Linked DNA regions of Pelodiscus sinensis. The protein of the gene in region 1 interacts with the protein of each later gene in a pairwise test. Links are inferred from orthologs where the notes say so. Each region holds a gene or a part of one and is shown in the gene's direction. Other genes may lie near its edges.

Evidence for each region.
Region 2: the proteins of ACY3 (region 1) and PMM2 interact in binary tests that used the Homo sapiens proteins (3 or more experiments, as listed by UniProt). The two-hybrid records come from large-scale screens. The link is inferred for Pelodiscus sinensis from reciprocal best matches to the Homo sapiens genes ACY3 and PMM2.

The regions. Positions count from the first base shown.
Region 1 is NC_134714.1:126,719,304-126,731,276, forward strand, and holds the start of ACY3 (N-acyl-aromatic-L-amino acid amidohydrolase (carboxylate-forming)), read left to right. Parts: upstream 1-6,321; 5' UTR 6,322-6,336; coding exon 6,337-6,518; intron 6,519-11,973. UniProt on the Homo sapiens protein: Plays an important role in deacetylating mercapturic acids in kidney proximal tubules. Also acts on N-acetyl-aromatic amino acids.
Region 2 is NC_134726.1:10,772,631-10,785,215, forward strand, and holds the start of PMM2 (phosphomannomutase 2), read left to right. Parts: upstream 1-7,527; 5' UTR 7,528-7,597; coding exon 7,598-7,666; intron 7,667-8,350; coding exon 8,351-8,462; intron 8,463-10,612; coding exon 10,613-10,689; intron 10,690-11,877; coding exon 11,878-11,969; intron 11,970-12,585. Other genes in the region: TMEM186 (transmembrane protein 186), read right to left, coding at 6,370-7,098, 7,391-7,393. UniProt on the Homo sapiens protein: Involved in the synthesis of the GDP-mannose and dolichol-phosphate-mannose required for a number of critical mannosyl transfer reactions.

The DNA.
Region 1 (11,973 bases):
GCCAGAGACTGTGACCCATTTACCCCTGTGCGGAGCCCCATCGCTTGCCTTTGGCTACAGCACCATTCGGGAAGGCCTCCAGGCTGGTTTTGAAGCCTCCAATAGAAAGAGAATCCACCACCAGCCTGTTCCGATGGTTAACCACCCTCACGGTTAAAGCCAGGCCTTGTGTCTAGTCAGAACGTGTCTGCCTTCAGAGCCAACCCTTTGGCTCCTGCATGCCTAGTCTCTGCTCAGAGAGAAGCTGGTATTTTTGCCCAGGGAGGTGCTGATACACTGTCACTAAGACGCCCCGCTGCTTGATCTTAATCTACGCAATAAGCTAACCCCATAGAGCTCTTCCATTCTCATTCTCGGGCATTTTCTCTGTGCTCAGAGCGTGTCCACGGCTCTTCCCAGCACCCTCTCCAGTTCTTCAGCGTCTTTGGTGCTCTCAGTATGGGTGAAAAGAGGGAGACTGAGGTGTGAAGAGAAAGTCAACCTGTGGTACTCCCTGCCAGAGGATGTTGTGAAGACCACGACTTTAACAGGGTCCAAAAAAGAACTAGATAAATTCATGGAGGTTAGGTCCATCTATACTTATTAGCCAGGATGGGTAGGAATGGTGTCCCTATCCTCTGTTTGTCAGAGACTGGAAATGGATGATGGGGGATGGATCGCTTGATGGTTCCCTGTTCTGTTCATTCCCTCTGGGACACCTGGCATTGGCCAGTCAGAAGCCAGGACACTGGGCTAGATGGACCTTTGGTCTGACCCAATATGGCTGCTCTTACGGTCTTATGTTACGCCCAGGTGTCAAGGAAAGGCAGGGCCCGCAGTAGCCCTCAGCAGCTGTGGGGCTGGGGTCACAGGGCCGGGGAGATGGAAGAGACTGGAAAGGGTCCCAGTTGCACATTCAGCGCAGGCCCTGGGTTGGAAGAGGTGCAGTGTGGGAAGGTGACCGGTGCCAGGGCTGTGCAAGGCAGGAGCTGAGCAATGGTCCCCGGTGAAGCAGACAAGGCCAGAGCACTGGTCTGGTTCTAGACACTTGCCCAGTGCCCATCAAGCTCATGGATAGTTTGCCCTCCCCCTTCCCCACCCATTGCAGCCCTCAGGGTTGTCCATGCCCTTGGGGCCCTTAGACTTGCTGCCTTGGGCTGTCTCTTGGCAGCTGCTACTCAGTTCCTGCCTGGCTTGTCTGCATGCCGGAGGCAGGGAGAGGAAACATGTCCGCCCCTCACAGCCAGCTTAGTGCTGCTCCCACCCTGCAAAGTGTAACCAGTCAGACAACACCCCTCCCTCCTCTTCACTGGTGTCTAGCTGACAAGACATACTCCTCTGCTTTTCCCTTCTTCTCTGACCTCGGCTTTCCTAGTTATAATTAGTTACGCTCTTTATCATGCCTTTGGTATGTTACAATGCAATTTCTTGCATTCAACGCTATGAGACCCCACTGTTACCTGCACAAATTTCTCTAACGCTTCCACACTGTAGGGACACACACCTTTACCTAGTTCCTAGGACTGAAGGTGCAACCCTGTTAATTTACACACCCACCCTTACCTAATTCCGAGGGCTCAGGGCGGAACTTCCTGCAGGTTTTGCAGGATCTGTAGCCACTGAAAGAGCCTCACTCAGTAATATCTTTATCCTCTATTTATTGACAATTCCCAAGCAAGCAGAATATACATGCTAAGCACACACTGTCATGCTCACCAATCCTGATACAGGCAGGCAGACTTCCCCTGTTGGCCAGGCAAGGTCAGTCTCTCTGGATCTTAGCTGCTGCATGTCATGGTTGTGTAGGAGAGTCCTGGCAGCTCTGATCTTAGGCCTCTGATCTTGGAGGTGAGTTCTTTTTCCAGGTCTTCCCCCTTCCTCTTGGTGTTCCTTTCTTTCCTTCTGCTTCTATTACTTGTGCTCTTCTTGCTGATCTCCTTCTTGGACCCCAGTTTATATAGTGACGCCTGAGTCCTGCTTAGCTACACCTTAACCCAGTGTTTCCCAAATGGTCTTCTGCAGAACCCCGGGGTTCCATGAAGCGAAAATAAGGGTTCCGCGAGAAAATTCCTTTACAATAACATTTTATGATTTAAAAATAATTCATATTTAAGCATTTATGAATTTTATTGAAAACAATTTTCATTTGTGTTTGCCACGATAAGTGCCCCTGTGTAATGCCAGCTTAGCCAGAGAGTGGGGACGATGATGTCACTACTCAGCGTTGTTGTCCATATATTAGATTGTTATTGGGAGTTCCGCAAAATTCTTTCAAGTTTAAAAGGGTTCCGTGGCCAAATAGAATTGGGAAACACTGCCTTCACCAATGATTTTTGTGTGATTATAACATACTGTAACAGAATTACCTAACCAATCATACCCCACCATCTTGGTTGATTTACACCTAGCAAAATTAATTATACAGCAGACAGAAATGGTTACAAACCGGACAGAGATCACACAGACAAACAATAGGAAAATGTGAGGCCAATAATCAAAGAATGAGGATTCCACAACCACAACTATTGATAAGCAGTTTCTTGCCAGACGAAATGCTGTTAATTAAGTTTTCTTTGCCCATCTTGAGATCTGTTTTCTTTATCTGGTGACAATGGGGGCCATTAGGACAAGGTCGCCTTTTCACAGCCTAGTGTGACACTATTTTAATGCAATTTAGATGGAATGTGAGGTTATGACTCCAGGCTTTCCAGCTAATGGCTGCTGCTCTCCACTCTGGCTGTAGAAGAAGGCTTTAGTTCATGCCTACCAATATGGCTACAGGCCTTCCAACATGGTTACAGAAAAACGATATTGCTACACCACTCTGCTTAGAAACCATATTGCTTATGGAACCTGTGCACTGTGTGTGAAGTGTGAATGAGAAATACCCAACCAAAAAGGCAGTTGAGGATCCATGATCTTTTCAGGCAGACAAAGACCCTGCGAGCAGATACATTAATGGACACGCAGCCAGAAAATCTCTCCCTCGCTCTTGGCCAAAATGTAACATCACAGCAGAAACCTGGGACATGGCCGAGTCTCCAGGAAGCGGTCACCTGTCCAGCACTCCAGCCACCAGCGAAATCTGAAGTAATCTACACGGCACTTGGCAGCCTGTCTCCAGACTGCCAGCATGACTGTGATATGTGTGAGTGTGGGTATGTCTACACTAGAAAGTTAGTTCGAACTAACGGACGTTAGTTCGAACTAACTTTCCTATGCGCTACACTAGCGCTTCGCTAGTTCGAATTTGAATCGAACTAGCGGAGCGCTTAGTTCGAACTAGGTAAACCTCATTTTACGAGGACTAACGCCTAGTTCGAACTAGCTAGTTCGAACTAAGGGCTGTGTAGCCCTTTAGTTCGAACTAGTGGGAGGCTAGCCCTCCCCAGGTTTCCCTGGTGGCCACTCTGGCCAACACCAGGGAAACTCTATGCCCCCCTCCCGGCCCCGGACCCCTTAAAGGGGCACGGGCTGGCTACGGTGCCCGTGCCAGGTGCAAGCCTGCCAGCACCCAGCTAGCAGACCCTGCACCTGGCACGGCACAGAGCCACCCACCCGATGCCCCCCAGCCCACCCCCTCTTGCCGGGACCAGGCTGGCGGCTCCCGGGAGCTTGCCCTGGACCGCAAGAGGCGGGCACCTTCCTGGGCTAGTGCGGACATCGTGGACCTCGTCCACGATCTCCGCACTAGGCACAGGAAAGTGGCCGGCTAGGGCAGGAGAGCTGCCAGCCTGGCCACCCAGGACCAGGTGTGCATGAAAATCAAGGGGGTCCACTGAGACCCCCGACCCTGAGCCCTGAGCTTACAATGGCCGTCCTGGGTCAGACCAAAGGTCCATCTAGCCCAGTAGCCTGTCTGCCAACAGCGGCCAACCCTAGGGACCCTGGAGGGGATGGACCGAAGACAATGACCAAGCCATTTGTCTCGTGCCATCCCTCTCCAGCCTTCCACAAACTTTGGGCAGGGACACCACTCCTACCCTCTGGCTAATAGGACTCCATGGACCCAACCTCCATCACTTGATCTCACTTCCCTTTCAACTCTGTTCTAGTTCTAGCCTTCACAGCCTCCTGCAGCAAGGAGTTCCACAGGTTAACTATTTGCTTTGTGAAGAACAACAACTTTCTCTTACTAGTTTCAAGCCTGCTACCCAGTCCTTTCCTTTGGTGTCCTCTAGTCCTTCTTTATGGGAACTCATGAAGAACTTTTCTGAATGCACCCTCTCCACCCAACCCCTGCTTTTAGAGACCTCTATCCTGTCCCCGCTCCATCTCCTCTTTTCTAAGCTGAACAGTCCCAGTCTCTGTAGCCTCTCTTCATCTGGGACCTGTTCCCAACCCCTGATCATGTTAGTTGCCCTCCCCTCTCCCAGCCTTTCTCTTCCCCTCTCCCACCTCCTTTTCCCAGTCTCCCCCAGTTTTTTTCAATAAAGACAGAGTCAATGTTGGAAGAAACGTTATCTTTATTTTGTACATCAATAAGAAGGGGGGCTAGGGAAGGGCAAGTGGAAGGAGGTGAGGGAGGAATGGGGTACGAGCCCCCGATGGGGAGGACTGGGCTGGCTCTGCGGGCTTCTGGGGGTGGAAGCTCTCCTGCAGCCCCCCAATTACTCCCTCTCCCCAGATGGCAGCCTGCGGCAAGTGCAGCCGGGCTGATGGCCGAGTGGTGTGATGTGCCCAGTGTGGGCACTCAGGGCACTCCAAGCCAGAACTTCTTTGCAAGCGGGGCACCCCTTAGAACTGTGTGTCCGGGGTGGGGGTCGGGACCCTTTAAGCGCAGCCCTCGGCTAGCCTGAGACAGTATCTCCATGCTCTAAGTCCTCCTTTTATGCCCTGCCGGCACTGCTTCCGGCCATCCTTAAGCCCTGTTCAGAGTCCACTCAATGTGGACTTACTAGTTCGAACTAGCAAAACGCTAGTTCGAACTAGTTTTTAGTTCTAGATGCGTTAGTTCGAACTAGCTTAGTTCGAATTAACTAATTCGAACTAAGTTAGTTCGAACTAGCGCTGTAGTGTAGACGTACCCTGTGTGAGTATCACTTGACTCTTAAGAATCTGTGCCAATAAACAGCCCCAGAAGCCATACTGCTCCAGGCCCACCCCTCCTTGTCTGGGTTTGTTCCTCAGAAGCTCTGAGGAAGTGTAACACAAAGGGATTTGGGGCTAGGAAAGTGAGGGGGGAGCTGGGCAGGAGTCAGGAGGAGCCACAGAGCTGGGAGGGGGCAGGGCTGTGAGAGCAGGGGGGAGGGTGAGCTAGGGGGGGTCAGGAGGGAAGGGCTTCAGCAGAGGGGGGGAGCTTGGAGCTGGAGTTGCAGGGCGGCTGTGAATCAGGATGGAGGGGCATTGGCACAGCTGCAGGGGGGCGGGGCGGCGCTTGGATGGCAGTGGCGCAGCTGAGCTGCATTAGAAGAGCTGGGTGTGGTGGGGGAGACAAGAGTGGAGCAGCAAAGGGGCCTGTAGGCAGCAGCTGGGCTGGGCAGGAACAGCAGGGGCTGGAATCTAGCTTGCAGGGACTTCCTCTCTCTTCCACCAGCTCCTGCCGATCCCCTTATCTCCCTGTGAGGCCGGGGGGCACAGGAGGGAAGCTGAGAGATGTGGGCAGGCTTCTAATAAGCATGTGGGGCCTGGACCTCAAGAGATATAAATGGCGTGATACCCATGTGCACCCACTGGGGAGCTGTCCCTTGCATGCTAGGCTATGGTGGAGCCAGAGAAACCCAGTCACTGCCCCCCAAGCTTCCCAAGCGTTGGGCTTCATTTCCTAGGGACTGTACATCCAGCACCTGCCCTCCCCAAAACGCCTGTGATCTGGGGAAGGGTTGCCCCCCACCAGCACTATGGGTGCAGCAGGTCTTTGGGCAGAGGTCACTGCCTGCCAAGGGAAATAATTCACCCAACTCCTGACTGTGGGAGGTAAATATTAAACAAGGGCTCCGTGGCTTGGACCCAGAGCAGCTTCTCGCACCTGGGTGCCCCAAGAGAGAGGGTTATTGGGGGCCTTGACTGGCAGTGGACAGGATCAGCGCGGGGGTCTTTATCAACAACCTGAGAGGTGAGTGGTCAGCAGTCTCGGGCTCTGCCTTTGGCGGGAACATTTCTCTATTTCGCTCAGTGTCCCCTCCCCAGCACCTGGCAAAAAGAAGGGGGCGCTCGGTGGAATGGAGCCAGGCTGATCAAAGCAAGGATTTGTGTACACCGCCAGGCATGTCAAACTGGCATCTGGAGGGCCGCATGTGGCCCCATTGAAGTTTTTTGGGGCCCGCCAGTGCATTTTCAGACAGACGGAAGTGCGGCCCGCTGGCCGCGTGGAGCACGTGACTGAGTGCAGGTGACGCCGGCTGGGCAGCTCTGCGCATGGCCCCCAGCACGTGGTCACAGCCAACCAGCCACTGTGCGCAGGGCCCGCAGCATGTGATCACAGCCAGCTGGCTGCTTACTCTCACTACCCCAGCGCCTAAGGAAGCGTGGCAGTGGCAGCAACAGCAATGTGACGACGGTGGTTCCAGAATCCAGGCATTAAGTTGTGGGGGGCTGAGGTATGCCTGTCTCTGGGGGAGGTGGGATGCATTAGGTTGGGAGGTGTCTGCCTCTAGGAAGGGAGGAGGCATTAGATTAGGAGGAGCTGGAAATCCTTGGCTCTGGGGGAGGAGGGAAGCATTAGGTTGGGGGCGGGGGGCCTGGAAGTTCCTGCCTCTGGGGAAAGGGGTAGGCATTAGGTTAGGAGGGGGCTGGAAGTCCTTGGCTCTGGGGAAGAGGCGGCACTGGACCACAGCTCTTCTACTCTTCCCCTTGTACAAGCATACAATTAAGTGTTATTTGCATGATGTCATGTACTGTTTCTCAGATAATATGACAGCATACAGGTTTTTTCCCTCGAATGGAATAGAATCAAGAGGACTATAATATATACACCCACAAGGGACTGATTTGTGGTTCTCAGTTTAATTTTCATCTTCCCTGAGTGTTAAGAACCTAACTGTACTACTGTGTTAATATTTGTCATATGATTTCCTTGGAATGTAGGCATTGCCAAATCAGCCAATGGGATCCTCTTGTCTAGTCCAGTACTCTAGGTACAAAAGTGGCCAATACAAGATGTCACAGGATGGGGTATGAGTGTGCTCGCACATGTCCACAAGAAACTATAGTCGACAGTTATCCCCGGATAGGGAATGTTGTTTCTTTACTCCCATCATTTTGAAACATGACCTGAAACATGGGTTTTAATCTGTTGTTTATCCTACCTATGGTATTTTAGATGTTCTCATTATCAATAAGCCTTTATCCTTTAAAAAAAATCTTACAAACTTTTGACCTTGCGGCTATTTAATGGCAGTGAGTTCCACAGATGAATTGGGTAAAAAGTTTCCTTCCATCAATATTAAATGTGTTGTCATTTAAGTAAATGTAAAAAGAGATTCAACGAAGCCAGGTGAGGGTGACTCATTAATCTTTTTAATGGCATTACAATACTTTCAGTGTTATTTCCGTTCCTTAAGGATTTCACTCTCCCTCTTCTCTTTTTAATGTGTCTATTACACATTAAGCAAATGTTCTCTTTTTTGTGTGAAACTGGTCAAAAGGAAAGGAAAATTGGATCTGTCTTCCATTGCAGCAGCAATGCTAATGACTCCCTTTTCACATTTTTCAAAGTGTTAATTATTCTGCTTTTTTAAAATATGGTTTCAACCATTGGTCCTGGTATTCAAGACCATACTCTTTTTTTTTAAATTCCAGGATACATTCCTAGTGCTTTTAAGATAGAAACAATATTCGCCACTCCCCAGTCCTCTGGGAAAGAACTTATTTTGATGAGATTGCTTAACTTCATGAGTAGCTCACCTAGTTCATTCGGAAATTTCTTCCAAACCCATGAGTCATTTCATCTGCACCTGTTGCTCTTAGATTTATCACTTTGTTCTAGCTGTCTCATCTTAAATACATCCACAGAAGTTGAGGAACAGTTTCTGCAGGAAGGAAATAACTTAGCTTCTTTGCAATGTCTTTATTTTCCTTTAATTTTCTGTTTACTCACTGCTAGTCTAGCAGACTCAACAATGTCTCTCAGGGTACGTCTACACTACAACGTTAATTCGAACTAAGCTAATTCGAACTAACGGATCCAGACTAAAAAACTAGTTTGAATTAACGTTTTGCTAATTCGAACTAGCATGTCCACACAGAGTGGACCCTGAACCATGCTTAAGGATGGCCGGAAGCAGTGCCGGCAGGGCATCAGAGGAGGACTTAGAGTGTGGAGATGCTGTCTCAGGCTAGCAGAGGGCTGTGCTTAAAGGGTCCCGACCCCCACCCCGGACAGACAGTTCTCAGGGGTTTCCCGCTTGCAAAGCAGTCCTGGCTTGGAGTGCCCGGACTACCCACACTGGGCACATCACAGCACTCGGCCATCAGCCCGGCTGCACTTGCCGCAGGCTGCCATCTGAGAGTGGGGGAAATTGGGGGGTTGCAGGAGAGCTTCCACCCCCAGAAGCCCGCAGAGCCAGCCCAGTCCTCCCCATTGGGGGCTCGTGCCCCATTCCTCCCTCACCTCCTTCCACTTACCCTTCCCTAGCCCCTCTTCTTGATGTACAAAATAAAGGACAATTGTGTTAAAAATGGAATCTGTCTTTATTGAACAAAACTGGGGGAAACTGGGAAAAGGAGGTGGGAGAGGGGAAGAGAGAGGGTGGGAGAGGGGAGGGCAACTAAAATGATCAGGGGTTGGGAACAGATCCCATATGAAGAGAGGCTAAAGAGACTGGGACTTTTCAGCTTAGAAAAGAGAAGACGGAGGGGGAACAGGATAGAGGTCTCTAAAAGCAGGAGTTGGGTGGAGAGGGTGCATACAGAAAAGTTCTTCATTAGTTCCCATAAAGAAGGACTAGAGGACACCAAAGGAAAGGAATGGGTAGCAGGCTTCAAACTAGTAACAGAAAGTTGTTCTTCACAAAGCAAAGAGTCAACCTGTGGAACTCCTTGCTGCAGGAGGCTGTGAAGGCTACAACGAGAACAGAGTTTAAAGGGAAGTGAGATCAGGTCATGGAGGTTGGGTCCATGGAGTGCTATTAGCCAGGGGGTAGGAGTGGTGTCCCTGCCCAAGGTTTGTGGAAGGCTGGAGAGGGATGGCACGAGACAAATGGCTTGGTCACTGTCTTCGGTCCATCCCCTCCAGGGTCCCTAGGGTCGGCCGCTGTTGGCAGACAGGCTACTGGGCTAGATGGACCTTTGGTCTGACCCAGGATGGCCATTGTAAGCTCAGGGCTCAGGGTCGGGGGTTTCAGTGGACCATCTTGATTTTCATGCACACCTGCTCCTGGGTGGCCAGGCTGACAGCTCTCCTGCCCTAGACGGCCACTTTCCTGTGCCTAGTGCGGAGGTCGTGGACGAGGTCCACGATGTCCGCACTAGCCCAGGCGTGTGCCCGCCTCTTGCGGTCCCGGGCAAGGTCCCGGGAGCCACCAGCCTGGTCCTGGGAAGAGGCAGAGGGCTGGGGGGCATCAGGTGGGTGGCTCAATCCGTGCCAGGTGCAGGGTCTGCTGGCTGGGTGCTGGCAGGCTTGCACCTGGCACGGGCACCGTAGCCAGCCCGTGCCCCTTTAAGGGGTCCGGGGCCGGGAAGGGGGCAGACGAGTTTCCCTGGTGTTGGCCAGAGTGGCCACCAGGGAAACCTGGGGAGGGCTAGCCTCCCACTAGTTCGAATTAAGGGGCTACACAGCCCTTAATTCGAACTTGCTAGTTCGAGCTAGGCTTAATCCTCGTAAAATGAGGTTTTCCTAGTTCGAACTAAGCGCTCTGCTAGTTCGAATTAAATTCGAACTAGCGGAGCGCTAGTGTAGCGCCTATTAAAGTTACTTCGAACTAACGTCCATTAGTTCGAACTAACTTTGTAGTGTAGACATACCCTCATAGACTTCCTGCTTCTTAGAAACAAATATTTTTGTAATGTTTTGGCTGTTTGCTCATCAATTCCCACTTTGCAAACCTGATATCTATCTTACATTTTACCTATCCTTATTTCATGTTCTGCTCTATAGACTTTACTTGGGATGGGTTTCCAATTTCTGAAGGATACCCATTTGGCTCCAATGACATCTGCTTTAAAGATAAAAAAGGAAAATGAACATATCCAGTTTTATATCTAAGAAGTACCAGCCAGTCGAGGGTAACCAGGGCCTACCAATATTGCTAATAAATAAGCACTTTTACATCAGTCAGCCAAAGGGCAATTAACTTGTCAGTTTTGCATGGATTATCTGTGTAAGAATATTACGTGTACCTTTGAACATGCATAGTTAAGAAATCCTAAGGATAGCATAAAGGCCAGCTTTTCAAGCCACTCGATTTGTTTTGGTAATCCTGGGGATAAATAGACAGAGCTGGGGTGGGAGGAGGACATGGATGCAGAATAAGATGTCATATTTAAATTCCAGGGCAAAAAAAAAAAAAAAATCAGCATGTACCTGGTTTACACTGTGTTTCTTTCAAGGAAATTCAAAGGCTATAGTTTGCCAGGCTGAAGCAATTATTCTGATATATGAATCTCTCCCTTATTGTTTGGGACCATTTGGGACAAACCTGAATTTTTAGAACTATAAAAAAGCCATAATCTTCTCAAGTAAACAAAATGAGGAAACCAACAAGCTGGAGTGAAACAATTGTGCTAATATACTTCCCAGTTCAGCTTAAGTTTAAAAAACTCACAAGATGTAATAGGGCAGAAGTGTTACATTTAAAATACATAGTGGGGTGATTTTTTTTACTGTGAGAATGTTACAGTATTTTTAAAGGGTTTTTTTTTTCATTGTTAGCTTTTTCTACTTTTTTGATAGTGACTTCGCAATGTCACTATCAAAATGGGAAAGTAGTAAATCTATAAAAAGGAAGATTGAAGACAAGCACCGTGTTTTCCAGGACAAATGGGAACTGTGTTATCAACTGAAAGGCAAGATTAACCACTGACTATACTTGTTTTTATTTCAACAAAACAAGTTATGTATCATACACAACATTTAAAAGTACCTTAAATTTATATTTAAATTTTAAATTCATAGAACCATAGAACACTAGGACTGGAAGGGACCTCGAGAGGTCATCGAATCCAGTCCCCTGCCCTCATGGCAGGACCCAGTACTGTCTAGACCATCCCTGATAGACATTTATCCAACCTACTCTTAAATATCTCCACAGATGGAGATTCCACAACCTCCTTGGGCAATTTATTCCAGTGTTTGACCAGCCTGACAGTTAGAAACTTTTTCCTAATGTCCAACCTAAACCTCCCTTGCTTCAGTTTAAGCCCATTGCTTCTTGTTCTATCCTCAAAGGCCAAGATGAACAAGTTTTCTCCCTCCTCCTTATGACACCCTTTTAGATACCTGAAAACTGCGATCATGTCCCCTCTCATATTAAAATTAATTTAATATGAACAAAACACAATTTTACACATAAAATTATTGCAAGATTATAAAATAGATAAAATGTAATCTATAATAAATAGCCGACTTTCCAACAAAGTCGTCCCCCCCCCCCTTTTTTTTTGGTATTATAACCAGGTGGGAACTTGAGGCGGCCCTGTGAGCTATCAGTTTTCACTTGTGTGGTCCTCAGTAGGCTTCAAGTTTGACATTGCTGGTGCACACCATGCCCAATTGGCCTGTGGAACTCATTGTCACAAGATTTTGCTGGTGCTTAGCAGAACTCCTAAAAGGGACAGAGTTAGGATACATGTTCAAGGGAAAAGGCCTGTGTAAGGACTTTAAACCATCATGCTTTGAAATGCAACCCCATAGCTTTCAACAAGGGGGGGAGAGAGGCTAGAGTGACTTTTATCTGTGAGGAGGGGGCAGCTGCTCCCACCACTGCAGCGTTTATTGCATGTGAAGCAGCTGGGACTGACCACAGTTTGAATCAGGATGTTGAGTTAGACCACCCCCCCCCCCCCCCCACACACACACACACACACACACTCCTGCCTGCTCAGTGTTAGTGCCTG
Region 2 (12,585 bases), on another chromosome or scaffold:
CTATGTATGTCGATCAGATTATTAGAAAATATACACAGAGAGCACTGCAGCATAAGCATAATAAAGTAATATTGTTTACAGCATATTGTGGAGAGTGCCAAATAAATGTTTAAACAAAAATACCCACCTACACCTCATGATGTAACTGTTAACAATGTACATGAATCTATGAACTAAATAAATTTCCTGTGTAATCAGTATTCTTAAATAAAATATTTATAATTGAACTCCTTGTAGCTCTTTTTAAATAAAAATATACATTCGTAAATGTTATGCTCACTATATAGCTTTGTATTTTTGTACACTCTTTGGAGGTACACTCTTTGGAAGATTGTTCTGTATACACCATGGCTGTGCCTAGACTGGCCAGTTTTTCCGGAAAATCAGCCGCTTTTCCAGAAAAACTTGCCAGCTGTCTACACTGGCTGCTTGAATTTCCGCAAAAGCACTGACTTCCTACTGTAAGAAATCAATGCTTCTTGCAGAAATACTATTCTGCTCCCGTTCAGGCAAAAGTCCCTTTTGCGCAAAGCTTTTGTGCAAAAGAGCCAGTGTAGACAGCTCAGATTTGTTTTCCGCAAAAAAGCCCCGATCGCGAAAATGGCGATCGGGGCTTTTTTGCGGAAAAGCGCGTCTAGATTGGCACAGACGCTTTTCCGCAAAAAGTGGCTTTTGCGGAAAAGCGTCCGTGCCAATCTAGACACTCTGTTCTGAAAATGCTTTTAACGGAAAACTTTTCCATTAAAAGCATTTCCCGAAAATCATGACAATCTAGACACCGCCCATAAGTCAAGAGGAAGCACAAGCAAACATTAGGAATGCAAAATCCTGTTTAATCAGTTACCTGGTTAAACATTATATTTAACCAGTTAATTGCTTAAACAGGGTCATGTGGCCAACCCATAGCAGGCTGTTCTGGCCTGATTGGGCACACCACACCATGGACTAAGGATATTAAATATTGGTTAATTGAATAGCTGATTAACCTCATCAGTTCTTATCGGTTACTTGACTATTCTATAGTCCCTGGGGATGAGACCCACAGCCAGTACACTCTGGCCCCACTCCTGAGGAGCTCCCTGCCACTCTGCGCTACTGCCTCTGGATTAGAGGCAGCAGCATGGGGTGCCAGGCAGGAGCTGGTCCACAAGGGTGGCCTGTTTAAAAACCAGCTTTCCTTGCAGACTGGCTGCCAATCACCCCGTGCTGTGTGATACAAAGGCAGCAGTCTGGGGTGGCAGCAGCCCCATAGGACTGGGGGGGCTGAGCTCCCAGATCCAGCTCGAACCAGAACTGAACTGGGCTGCCTGGTTCCTAATACACTTTAAATGCAGAGCTGCAGCAAGAGTAGGTTCTGGACCTAGCATAAGCCAGGACTGAGCCGGGCTGTTGGCCAACCTGCCAGAAAGTTTTCTGGTGGGGAGGGAATACGTGTACTCTATATACTTGTAGTCTATGCTTTTGCTTATCAGTTAATTGATTAACCGACTATACTATTACATCCCGACTGTGGATGGGTCAGGAGCTGCTACAGCCCAGCCGGGCCAACAGTTAACTAGTAACTACCACTCAATAAATCGACATCACTAGCCAACACAACTACTTCATCATTTCCTTTTGCTTTACTGCACCAGCACTGGGTTCAGCCAAACCATAGGGATGTAAACTCCCCCTATTTGCTTTGCATTAGTAGCCTGCAAATCAGGGTAAGTCTGAGTGATGTATTTGGATGGTAGCGATTCTCCCTCTGCAACACAAAAAAGGAGATAAGGGCTAGATATGGAAACTACTCTGAAAATTATAGCTAATTCTTCCATGTAAGTGAACATTGAGAGCTGAATTATTTGCCACTGTACCAGGTTTGCTACATGGAGTAAAAATGCATGAAAATAGAAAATGCTGTAAGAGTTTGATTTCAGCACTTTCAGAACAACTCAACATTTCTATCATGTATTTGTGATAGAAATGTTAGTGTTACAATTTATGCCTTTTCGTGTATCTGGCTTTGATTTATACTCCTTGAGCGAGCACTTTTCAGATTATTATTCCTTCTCGGAACAAGGAGTCTTACCATCAGCTGATTAAGCGTCACAACATGCCACCAAGGTAAAGACACTTACAGGTGTGGAGGGTGCATTTAAAAAAAAAATCTAATGAAGTAACCATATAGATAGGAATACTGAGGCCTGGCATTCAAATATCAAACAGCATTCACAGTGTCACAAGAACATTTTATTCCAAACTCCTATTCCTCTACTGTAGACATGCTTCAGACCTCTGGGATCACAGTACAGTAATGAACAAAAGTCCTAGCAGGACTTCATAGGACTGGTTTGAGAGTACCCTGGAGAATGCTTTGTTACTCCTACAAGCAGAAGCAAAGTTTACTTTTTTGCACGTCATGATACTGTGACTGCAGCATATAATCCATTTGACTGAATGGGGCAGGGCTACACTTCCATCTTTTTAAGGAATAACTATCCTTCCTAGCTTGAGACATAACCGAGCTCTGATCTGACTAATGCACTAACAGTGTGTAGCTATCACATCTTTGTTTCACTGTCTCCAACATTTTTAACCACAAGATCGCTTTTTCTATTTAACTGTGACCTCAAACCCAAATACCCTCGCCCGTTTCCGCCCTGGCCCTTCTTTGAGGCCCCGCCCCTGTTCCACCCCTTCTCCAAGACCTCACCCTGCTCACTCCATTCCCCTTCCTTCCCCCATTCTCACTTACTTATGCCAGGCTGGAGCAGGGAATTGGGGTGCAGGCTCTGGTCTTGAGCCAAAGAGTTTGGAGTGTGGGAGGGGCATTGGGATCTAGGGGGGGTTTCAGGGTACAAGCTGTGGGAAGGAGTGCAGGGGGACTCACATCTGAGGCAGGAGGTTGGGTGTAGGAGAAGGTTCAGGGCTGGGACGGGTTCAGCTGGCTCTGCATCACTCCTGAAAGCATCTGGCATGTACAGCAATGGCTCCATGGTGCCATGTGCTGCTCCTTATCTACAGGCCCTGAGCCCACAGCTTCTACTGGCCAGTTCCCCGTTATTGATCACTGCAGACACCATTCCTGCAGCTCCCATTGAAGGACAGCATGTAGAGCTTGCTCCAGCCATGACAGGTTAGGCATTTTAGAACTCAATCAAAAATTACATTTAAGTGTAAGAAATGAAAATTATGAAGTGCACAGACCCAAAATAACCCACTTTGCAAGTAGTAGAAGTAACAACTCCCCACTTTTTGTTGGGTCAGGAGATGAGAGTGAAGAACAGTGTGTGTTTGTGACAATGACAGACACACAGCGTGTGTGACAGATTTGCATTGCCAAGCTCCCTCTGTCCCCTTCTCTGTGTGTGGAGTTAGGGTACAGGAGTGGGGGTAAGAGGGACATCCTGAAATCAGCACTCCCCTCTTCTTCCTACCACACCATGCACAGCAAGCAGGAGGCTTCCAGGGGGGCAGCTCCAAAGCAGAGAGCAGGAGCAGCATGACAGTGGGTGGAGGGACAACTGAAGAGCCAGCACTTGATAGCTTTTTGGACAAACCAGTCAGGATCACCTGTCAGAGGCTCCAAGATCTACCAGTAGATCCTGATCTACTGGTTGGTGACCACTGCTCTAAGTAATCCTCCCTCCTGGCCACTTGGCTTGTGTCCTTTCAGTTGCCTCATACCATGCGTCTTTGTTGCCACCCCTCCCCAAAGTCTTCCTCAACCTTCACATTTTGGCAGCCATCTTTAAGCAGCTACCTCTAGCAGATAGCTGAAAATGTTATTCACATCCCTGTCTGTAGCTGCAAAAAATGAGATGCGGATATCTACATCCATATCTGCAGTTTTGCAAGGCTCGGTATACAGAGGGTTTTGAGGGCCTGCACAAATTCTAAAACTGAAGCTTCCTATTCCCCCCCCCCCCCAAAAAACAAAACAAAACAAAATACGCCTTCCAAAAAGCTTTCCACTGAGGGCAGGGAGAATGATCCTGCCCCACATTCACCTCAGAGCAGGGTTAACAGGAACAAATATCAGTAAGTGATGTTGTAACCTGATACATTAGCATGCAACACCACTAAGTTTGGGCTCTCACACAGAATCCTAGGCAAACTGCCCGCTTTATCCCATCCTGAGGAGCCCTGAGTCCATGTTTTATCCATATCCAGGCCTGCTTCTCATTATGGAGCAAATCTTGCTTATGATGAGGACATCTTTGAAAAGGAAAGGATTACCTGAGTCCCCACCCACAGCCATGGAATAGTAGAGCTGTTGTCCTCAGTTGGTAGGAAGGAAAGTAAAGGATTTGAAGAGTGATTCCTCCAGCCTTCCCAAGTGTGCACAGCTATTCAAGTAGTTGTGTGAGAGAATGGGCAAAAATGCCCTCTGTGGCTGTGTCTAGACTGCAGGTCTAGACTGGGTGCTCTCTTTCGAAAAAGCGGCTTGCTTTTTCGAAAGTACTGGTTGCAGTCTAGACACTTTTTCGAAAGGATCTTTCGAAAAACCCTCTTTCGAAAGAGGCTTGCATTCTAGACGTAGCCTGAGAGACTGCCAAAAGAAAAAACACACATAGGCTGCGTCTAGACTGGCACGATTTTGCGCAAATACTTTTAACTGAAAAGTTTTTCCATTAAAAGTATTTGCGCAAGGGACTGTCTACACTGGCACAGTTGCTTTTGCATAAAAGCATCCGTGCCAATGTAGATGCTCTCTTGTGCAAGAAAGCTCCAATGGCCATTTTAGCCATCAGGCTTTCTTGAGCAAGAAATTAAGCTGGCTGCCTATGCTGGCCCTCTTGCGCAAGAATACTTGCGCAAGAGGGCTTATCCCTGAGCGGGAGCATCGGAGTGTTTGCGCAAGAACCTCTGATTTTGTACATTACAAAGTCAGTGTTCTTGCACAAATACTCGCAGCCAGTGTAGATAGGTGGCAAGATTTTGCGCAAAAGTAGCCACTTTTGCGCAAAATCTTGCCAGTTTAGATGCAGCCATACTACTTCTGTAATCAGAACATTCTATAGCTGGAGAGGTGTTAGGCAAGATTTTCTCCTGTGAACTTTCATAATGCTATATGAACTGGTGCAGCTTTAAACAACTCCCTCGGTACAATAAGATTTGCTTGTGTTGACATTGTATGTCATCATGTGATAATAAAGGTAACCATTACACTTATTAAAATGCATACTGTGCTTTATAAATCTGCTGCATTACATGTCATTCTACAGCAATAAGCAACGTGAGAACTGAAGTCAGTTAGCACTTCATACAACTTTTTTTTAATTTGTGAAAAGTACAATCTACAGTACACAATCAAAACTAAGTCCGGTCAATGGAAGGATATTTTGAACTGATGTGCCATTTAGTTCCTTTGTGGGCACAGTTGCTGTTTAAAAATAACCATTTCCCTGCTGTCTTTGCAACCCAAATATTAAAATATTATGCCTAAGAAAATGAATGAGTTTCAATTTGTTAAATTGAAAAAAAAATCCAAATCAATCATAAGCACTGAAAATGCTTAAAATTCTTATTTACAATAACCTTAGATAGTGCCTGTAGCTCAGGGTAAGAAAATGTTTTTCAAGCTTCTGCAAATCTGTAATATACTTCTGTTCAGAATTTATCCTTTTCTCTATGTACACAAGTTAAAATGCCACAAGCCATTGCTGAATGCTGGACAAATCTTACTCTGAATCCCACTGACACTAAGTTTTGATCTGACAGAAGAATTGCTACAAAAAGTGAGAGGCATAGTTCCCGGTTACTGCTAGCCAAGGTCACAAGTGAGCAAGCGGTTCCACCTCATGACCATTTCTTGCACTAGTATAATCCTTACTTTGCAGTTCTACAGGAATAATTTGCAATTTCAATAACTTACTAACTTTACATGTTAATAGAAATTAAAATTTTCTTGATCAAAATTTGACAAATTGAAAGTGAAGTCTCACAAGAGATAGTAAAAATGCTGCTGTGGTTTCTATGGTTCTCTCTGATAGCAAGTTACATTTGCTCAGTTTTACCAATAAATTATTTTTAGCTGCTATCCTAGTCTGAAAGCACCATAAAAAAATACCCCACTACCTGCTAGCTCAACTGCACATTCAGGTGAACCAATTTTAAGTGCAAGTTACCAGACATGAGTATTATACTAGCTTTATTTACATAATAGTTGTGTGTGTGCAATGAGATTCAGCTTTCATCTGAAATTACTACACAGAAACTTCTGTCTAGTGGTTACTACATCAAGGTATGCCCTTTGTATAAACACAGGTGTGCATGCTGGCTGAGGATTTGTACGAAAAAAGGATGGTAATATTCCGGATTTGAGTATTTATACATCTATTAAACTATGCTCTGAATTCAGCATGAAGATCAATGGAAAATGTATTAGTAATATCCTCCAAATATTTGGTCAAACCTCTGTTTATCTACAATATGGCCAAACTTTAGAGTAAAATATAAAATGTGTGTACTATTATGCTGTTTAAACTGAAGCAGTACTTCGTTCTTGGCATCTCCAGTGTCACCCAAGGGCATCACAGTTTCAATTGGACAATAAATGACTTTCTTTTGACCCCAAAATGTCAAATGTGCCACTTTTACCATAGTGCCAACATCATTTAAGTATATCAGTCCAATCATTCGTCTGAAAAAATAACTTGTACCATACAGCATTGCAGCAGCAAAGCAAGCAATGCCAGTGACATACAACAGAAAATCCTGAGAAACTTGTTCCTGCAGATAGAGGTGATAGACTGGAGGGAGGGTGACTACGGTCAGAGCAGTCTGTAACAACTTCATTCTTGAAAATATTCGACAATATTTAATTCCTGGGAATTTGTAGACCAGTTTGAACTGTTCCGTGTCCTGGCTCGCAGGCTTTTCCGAGCCTCGGTTGGTGGGGGTTAAGCTACCGGCACATCTGTACTGTGCCAGCCCCGCCCGAGGATTGCCCGCTCGCCACCGCGGAGCCTGTAAGAACACAGGGGTCCCAAGCCAACGGGGGCGGCACCTGTCTCCTCTCTGCCACAGTCTGGCCGAAGGCTCCCGCGGCAAGGCGCGCCCACAGGGAGGCAGCGCGGAGCGGAGGCGAGTGCTGGTTTTGAAGACCGCGGCCTACAAGAGAAGGTTTCATGCCCGGTCTTCACACCTCGCACCGGCAGCCCCGCCCAGCGCGGGGCCCAGCCCGCCTGAAGCCGCAGCCCAACCTCGCCCCAAGGCAACGGGGAGCCCTCGCGCGCCGAGCGCCGGCCCGGGCCTGAGGCGCCCCCAGCACTAACACCGCGGCCAGGGAAGCGCGGCGCCCTCCTGCCCGCCCGCGCGCGCTGTACAGCGCCGAGCCCCGCCTCCGGGTGCCGCCCCCACCCGCCGTGGCACGAGCCGCGCGCCCAGCTAGGCCCGGCCTTACCATCCCGAGACAGAGACGTGGATCCAGGACCCAAGTGCCACCGCGCCTGCGCGGCGCTCGCGGGCCGCGTACGTCGGAGCTGCTGCGTTGCACCGTGGGAGGGGCCCGCAGGTGCCTTTCAGTCGAGCTGTTGGGCTCCCGGCATCCCCCGCGGCTGGGTCGCGCAGACCCGGAAGAGAGTGAGGCGCCCTCTCATTCATCCGCAGCATGGCGGCGCCGGGCAGCAGCGTCCTCTGCCTCTTCGACGTGGACGGGACCCTGACCGCGCCCCGGCAGGTGGGCCCAGGGCCGGGGGCGAGCGGGTGGAGCGCGTTGCGGCGGGAGGGACCCTGGGCTGCCAGAGCGGGCGGTTGCTGCCCGGCCGCCGGGCACGGAGAGCAGAGAGCCCCGCGAAGCCGCCGGGCTGTGTCCCCACGCAGGGGCTCTGGGGAGCTGCGGCCGGTCGCGTGCAGGGGGTGCCCGCTGGCCGTTGAGGGAGCTGGGGGCGGAGCCTGTTGCTGGCGTTTGGGGGGGACCTGGAACTTCCCTGGTTCTCGGGCTCAAGGAGCAGCGTTGCCACCTGTTAACCTGCGTGATCTGCGCGAGCCGCTCCCTCGCGCACGGGCGTTGCGCCGACTTACTGATGCCCCTGGGCTCCGGGTGGGGAGGGGCTGGCTCCGTGGGGGGCTTGTCCCCGAAGGCTCATCACAAGCCACTGCGGGTTTTTAACGTTTAGCAGTAGGGAGAACACTCCATTAGCGAGCCGGAGGCTATAGTGACTTCCTTGTTGTTTAAGGGATTTTGCCTTCCGGGAATATTTTCTCATAGACATTTTTAAAATTTTTCTTATATCGCTTCTTAAAACCCTGCAGAGTTTAGTTCTCAGTGACCTTTCTCCCACTGCACTGTATTTTAATTCAACTGGTACTCATGGTAAAAGTAGTTAACTACCTTAAAATATAAACTGTTTATTTAATCTAGAAAATCACAGCAGAAATGGCAGAATTTCTGCAGAAGCTACGAAAGAAGGTGAAAGTTGGAGTTGTAGGTGGTTCAGACTTTGAAAAAATTCAAGAGCAGCTGGGAGATGATGGTAAGAAAAAAAAAGATGTAGCAATCCAAGTTGAAACGAATTCCTTATGAGGAAGTTCTGATGGGTAAATACAATCCCTTTCTCCCAGAGTTGGTCACGTCATTTTTCATTAAATGCAAACTTCCTTATTCTGAATATGTTTCTCTGATTTTACTATATTACGCCGATTTCATGAAATGTTAGTTAAGATATATTTTAACAATCTTTATAAAATGGAGTTGTTTGTATCTCATTACATAGTTTATCTAATGTGCTCATCCACGCAAGAGCTGATTTTTATTAAATAGTGCCTTTGAGATCTGGTTCTTTCCCTTTTTTAACTCTGTGTAAGGTTTTTAATGTGAAAGATCAGTATTAATTGCCTTTCATAATTCACAATTATGCATTCCCAATATATACTGACAAACATTTTATATAATCATGGTTTTACTTGGCCTGGAAATGGCCTTCCGAAGTCATCTGATTTTTAGTTAGCAAGAGCCAGATACCCCCAAATCATCTCCAGCAGTATTACAATTATTGCAGATGTTCAAATAAGGATGTGATTTCACAGCTTTTCTTGAAGCAGAATATTTAGAATATGCCACAACTGATCCTATAGTGGTTTTTTTTTTACTTGAATCCCAAGGCTGAGTTTTAGTTTCAGTAGACGTATTATACAACTTGTAGAACAATAAATAGTAGTATTGTACATTAGGAATGTAACATTCCGATTAATCAGCTAATCAGGTAGTGGATATAATTTCCATCGATTAGCCTGTAAGGGGGGGCACTTGCTAACCTGTTGCATTTCAAAGGCAGAGGTGCAGTGGAGAACCTGTGCGAACAAAGACCGAATCAGTCCCCGCTCATGTGGGGTCCCGAGTGCTGCACCTGTCCCTTTGAAATGTGCAAGAGCCACCCATAGCCCTTGAACATTTCAAAGGGAGAGGCACAGCAGTCGGGACCCGCAGGAAGGGACTCTGCTGTTTCCCCTGCTGTGCCTCTGCCTCTCTTCAGCACTGGCTCCTGTTTCCCTCCTTCCCTTGCTGCAGAGGCAGCAAGGGAAGAGGAGCAAGTCGTGACTCGACTACCTGATAAGCCTATGCTTATCAGGTAGTCAACTAGTCACTTACATCCCTATTGTACATTTTCCTATTGAAACATAGTCCGTGGCACAGAAGAAGCCATTTGGATTTATCATTTTGGAACCATATTTTTGTCTCCTAATTCTACTTACATATTTCAAAGGAGACTTGATCCTGTAATTCAGTTTAAAACACACACATTTTTATCAAGTAGAATTGCATTAAAATAATCTCCCTCAAATAGTAAACTTTTCTTTGTCCTCTTATTGATTTTTATGTCCAGATTGTTGTTCCAAGGTTTTGCAATGGTGACTGGATCCATGGCAATTTACAACAGGGGTCGGCAATAATTTTTTCAGGAGGGGCACTTCATAAATTTTGGTATGTGGTGATAGGCTGGTTCCAGGGGCCCCTGGAAGCGGTGGAGTCTTGGGTGGAAGGGGTTGAGGTGGGGCTACAGAAAGAGACATTTTGTGTGAGAGAGACTGTGTGACAGATTGTGGCACAGACTGGGTGTGTGTGACAGTGACACAGAGCATGTGTGCTCGCTAAATTTCTGAGCAGCCACGCTCTGTCTCTTTAAGGAAATCTGTCTTGTCTCTCTTCCCCCTTCTGCTCTCCTCTGAATCACGCTTTAGAATGGAGCAGCTCTGCTGATTGAGTGTGTTATTCTACCCCTGCTCTGCAGAGACAAGGTACAGGGGCAGGGAGACAGCCTGACTTCAGCACTTCCCTCGCCCCTCCACCTGAGTTTGCCCACCCCTGGTTTACAATAGTAAAGCACAACTAAATGTGCTAAGGATAGAGTCAGATCCTTCATGCTAAATGTATGTAACTTAACTACTTGCTATTCTCATGGTGTAAGATCCCAGTGGCTTCAGAAGGAGGAACAAATAGAAATTGCAGAATTAGGTCCTTTAAGTTTTTCATCAGACATTACAAGTGTATAGCTTCTGCTTAATATTCTAAAATTATTATTATTCTAAAATTATTATATTTTGATGTATTTAGTACTGAAAAGGTTTGCATACAATGAAGGAAAGACAAGATATAAACTGCAGCATTTTTTGTTTGTGTTTTTAGTTGTTGAAAAGTTTGACTACATCTTTCCAGAAAATGGTCTAGTCTCATACAAAGATGGGGTGTTGTTGTGCAAGCAGGTATGTTTAATAGATCTTATAAACTAATTGATTATTGTAAGGCTAAAATCTTTCAAACAAGATTTTTATTCTCATAATTCTGCATGGAGAATTGCCTGTCTTGTTTTGCAGCTGCAGTGATCATTTAATAGTCTGAAATTATTGCTTTATATATAGAATTTTATTTGTACAATTGACAGTCCATCTCCTCTCTTAAATCTATAGATTGACGCAAGATGTAGAGCCAGATCCTTACCTCAGACCTCCTGGTTTGCCCTGCTCAAAACCTGGTAGATTTGACTAGAGAATTTTTCCAGCACGTAAAATTCCTGAGTGACATCTTTCCTACTCTCTGGCATGGGGGTCATGGCTGGAGACCTCTAGTGATGCCCACTCATGGAATTTCTATAACAATTGGGCCTCATTTAGAACACCTTTGAGGCTACTCTAAATTATAGCTGGTCCTTCACAGGCCTGAGACTTGGGAAGTGGAAAGGGTGGCTTAAAGCCATCTCCTTTCCTTGACCACCAGTGGAATGTACCCCCACTGCTGCTTAGGAGCTAGCACATAGGGTGGCCTTGATTGAGTAGAGTATTTTTATAAGCTGCTAGAAATAATTTAAGAGGCTGAGAAAATACTGGTGATTAAATCTAATATTGTGATAATCTTCAGTGCCTCAATTTAGCTATTGGAGAATGGAAAATAAAATAGCTCAGGACCTGACCCATATCTTAAGGTACCGGTTCCCAACTTATTTGGCAACTGTTTCCCGCACTTAATTAAGCTGTACTAGCCCCTATCTACTCCTTTCCATTTCAGCATGCATTTTCTAACCCACAGTGTGAAGTAGGGGCATGGAGGAGCATGTTATACTGAGAGATAGTGTTCGTGTAAGCTGAGTGCAGATCGCTCAAAGTGCCCACAGTCGGTAACATGTGTTTCTATTGGTAGTACAAAAAACAAAAATTATTCCACACATGGATTAGAGGGAACATTCGTGAGAAGTGGTCAGTTGTGCAGCATAGCATTTTATAATTAAGGTAGAGAACGGGAGCCTACAGTACCAGTACTGCACATACACTGAGAACCACGTACTTAAGACCTGGTTTTCTGGCATCTGCTATACACGAGAATCTAAAACCTGTATTGTCAATAAGTTACTTTCAGAATTCTGGATCTATAGTTGATATGTCTTTTTGTATGTTTAGAGCATTCAGAGTCATCTGGGTGAGGACTTGCTCCAAGATCTAATCAACTACTGTCTGAGTTACATTGCGAAGATTAAACTGCCAAAGAAAAGGTAGGTATATGTGCATGCATAACTTAGGGAAGAGAGTATTCCTGCTTTGGGGTATTGATCTTCAGTAGGGAAGACACTGTCCAGTCATGTTACAAATGAATGGATTGTGTTTGAGTACATACTGTATAATTGAGAGAGATGTATGCTATTGTTCAGCAATCCCATACAGAAAAAGACAAGCTCCACTATTGGAGCAAGTGAAGGATCATGGGTAAAGATTATGCAACGTTGCTCAACAGGGAATTGTTTATTCTCCATAAAACAAATTGTAATATAAAAATCTAGATGGACAGAACATTGGGTGCTCATTGGGATACCTCTTATTTTTATTCCTTATGAAGTGCAGATTACATTTGGTGTAAAACATTTTCTTGAAGCAGTTGGAATTGAAAGGCATTGTTGCTTTTATAAATGAAAGTTGCAAGGTTGTCTTCTAAAATTTGAAATGAATTACCCTGCACAGTACTTGGGAATACAGAGGCTAGAGACACTGAGCTTGATCCTTTGGTCCATAAAGTTTGGCTACATCTTCACTGCGAGTTCTTCTGGCAGAAAGTATGCTAATGAGGGGCTCATTAGCATAAGTTGCAATCTCATTAGCATATTTTCTGCGGTT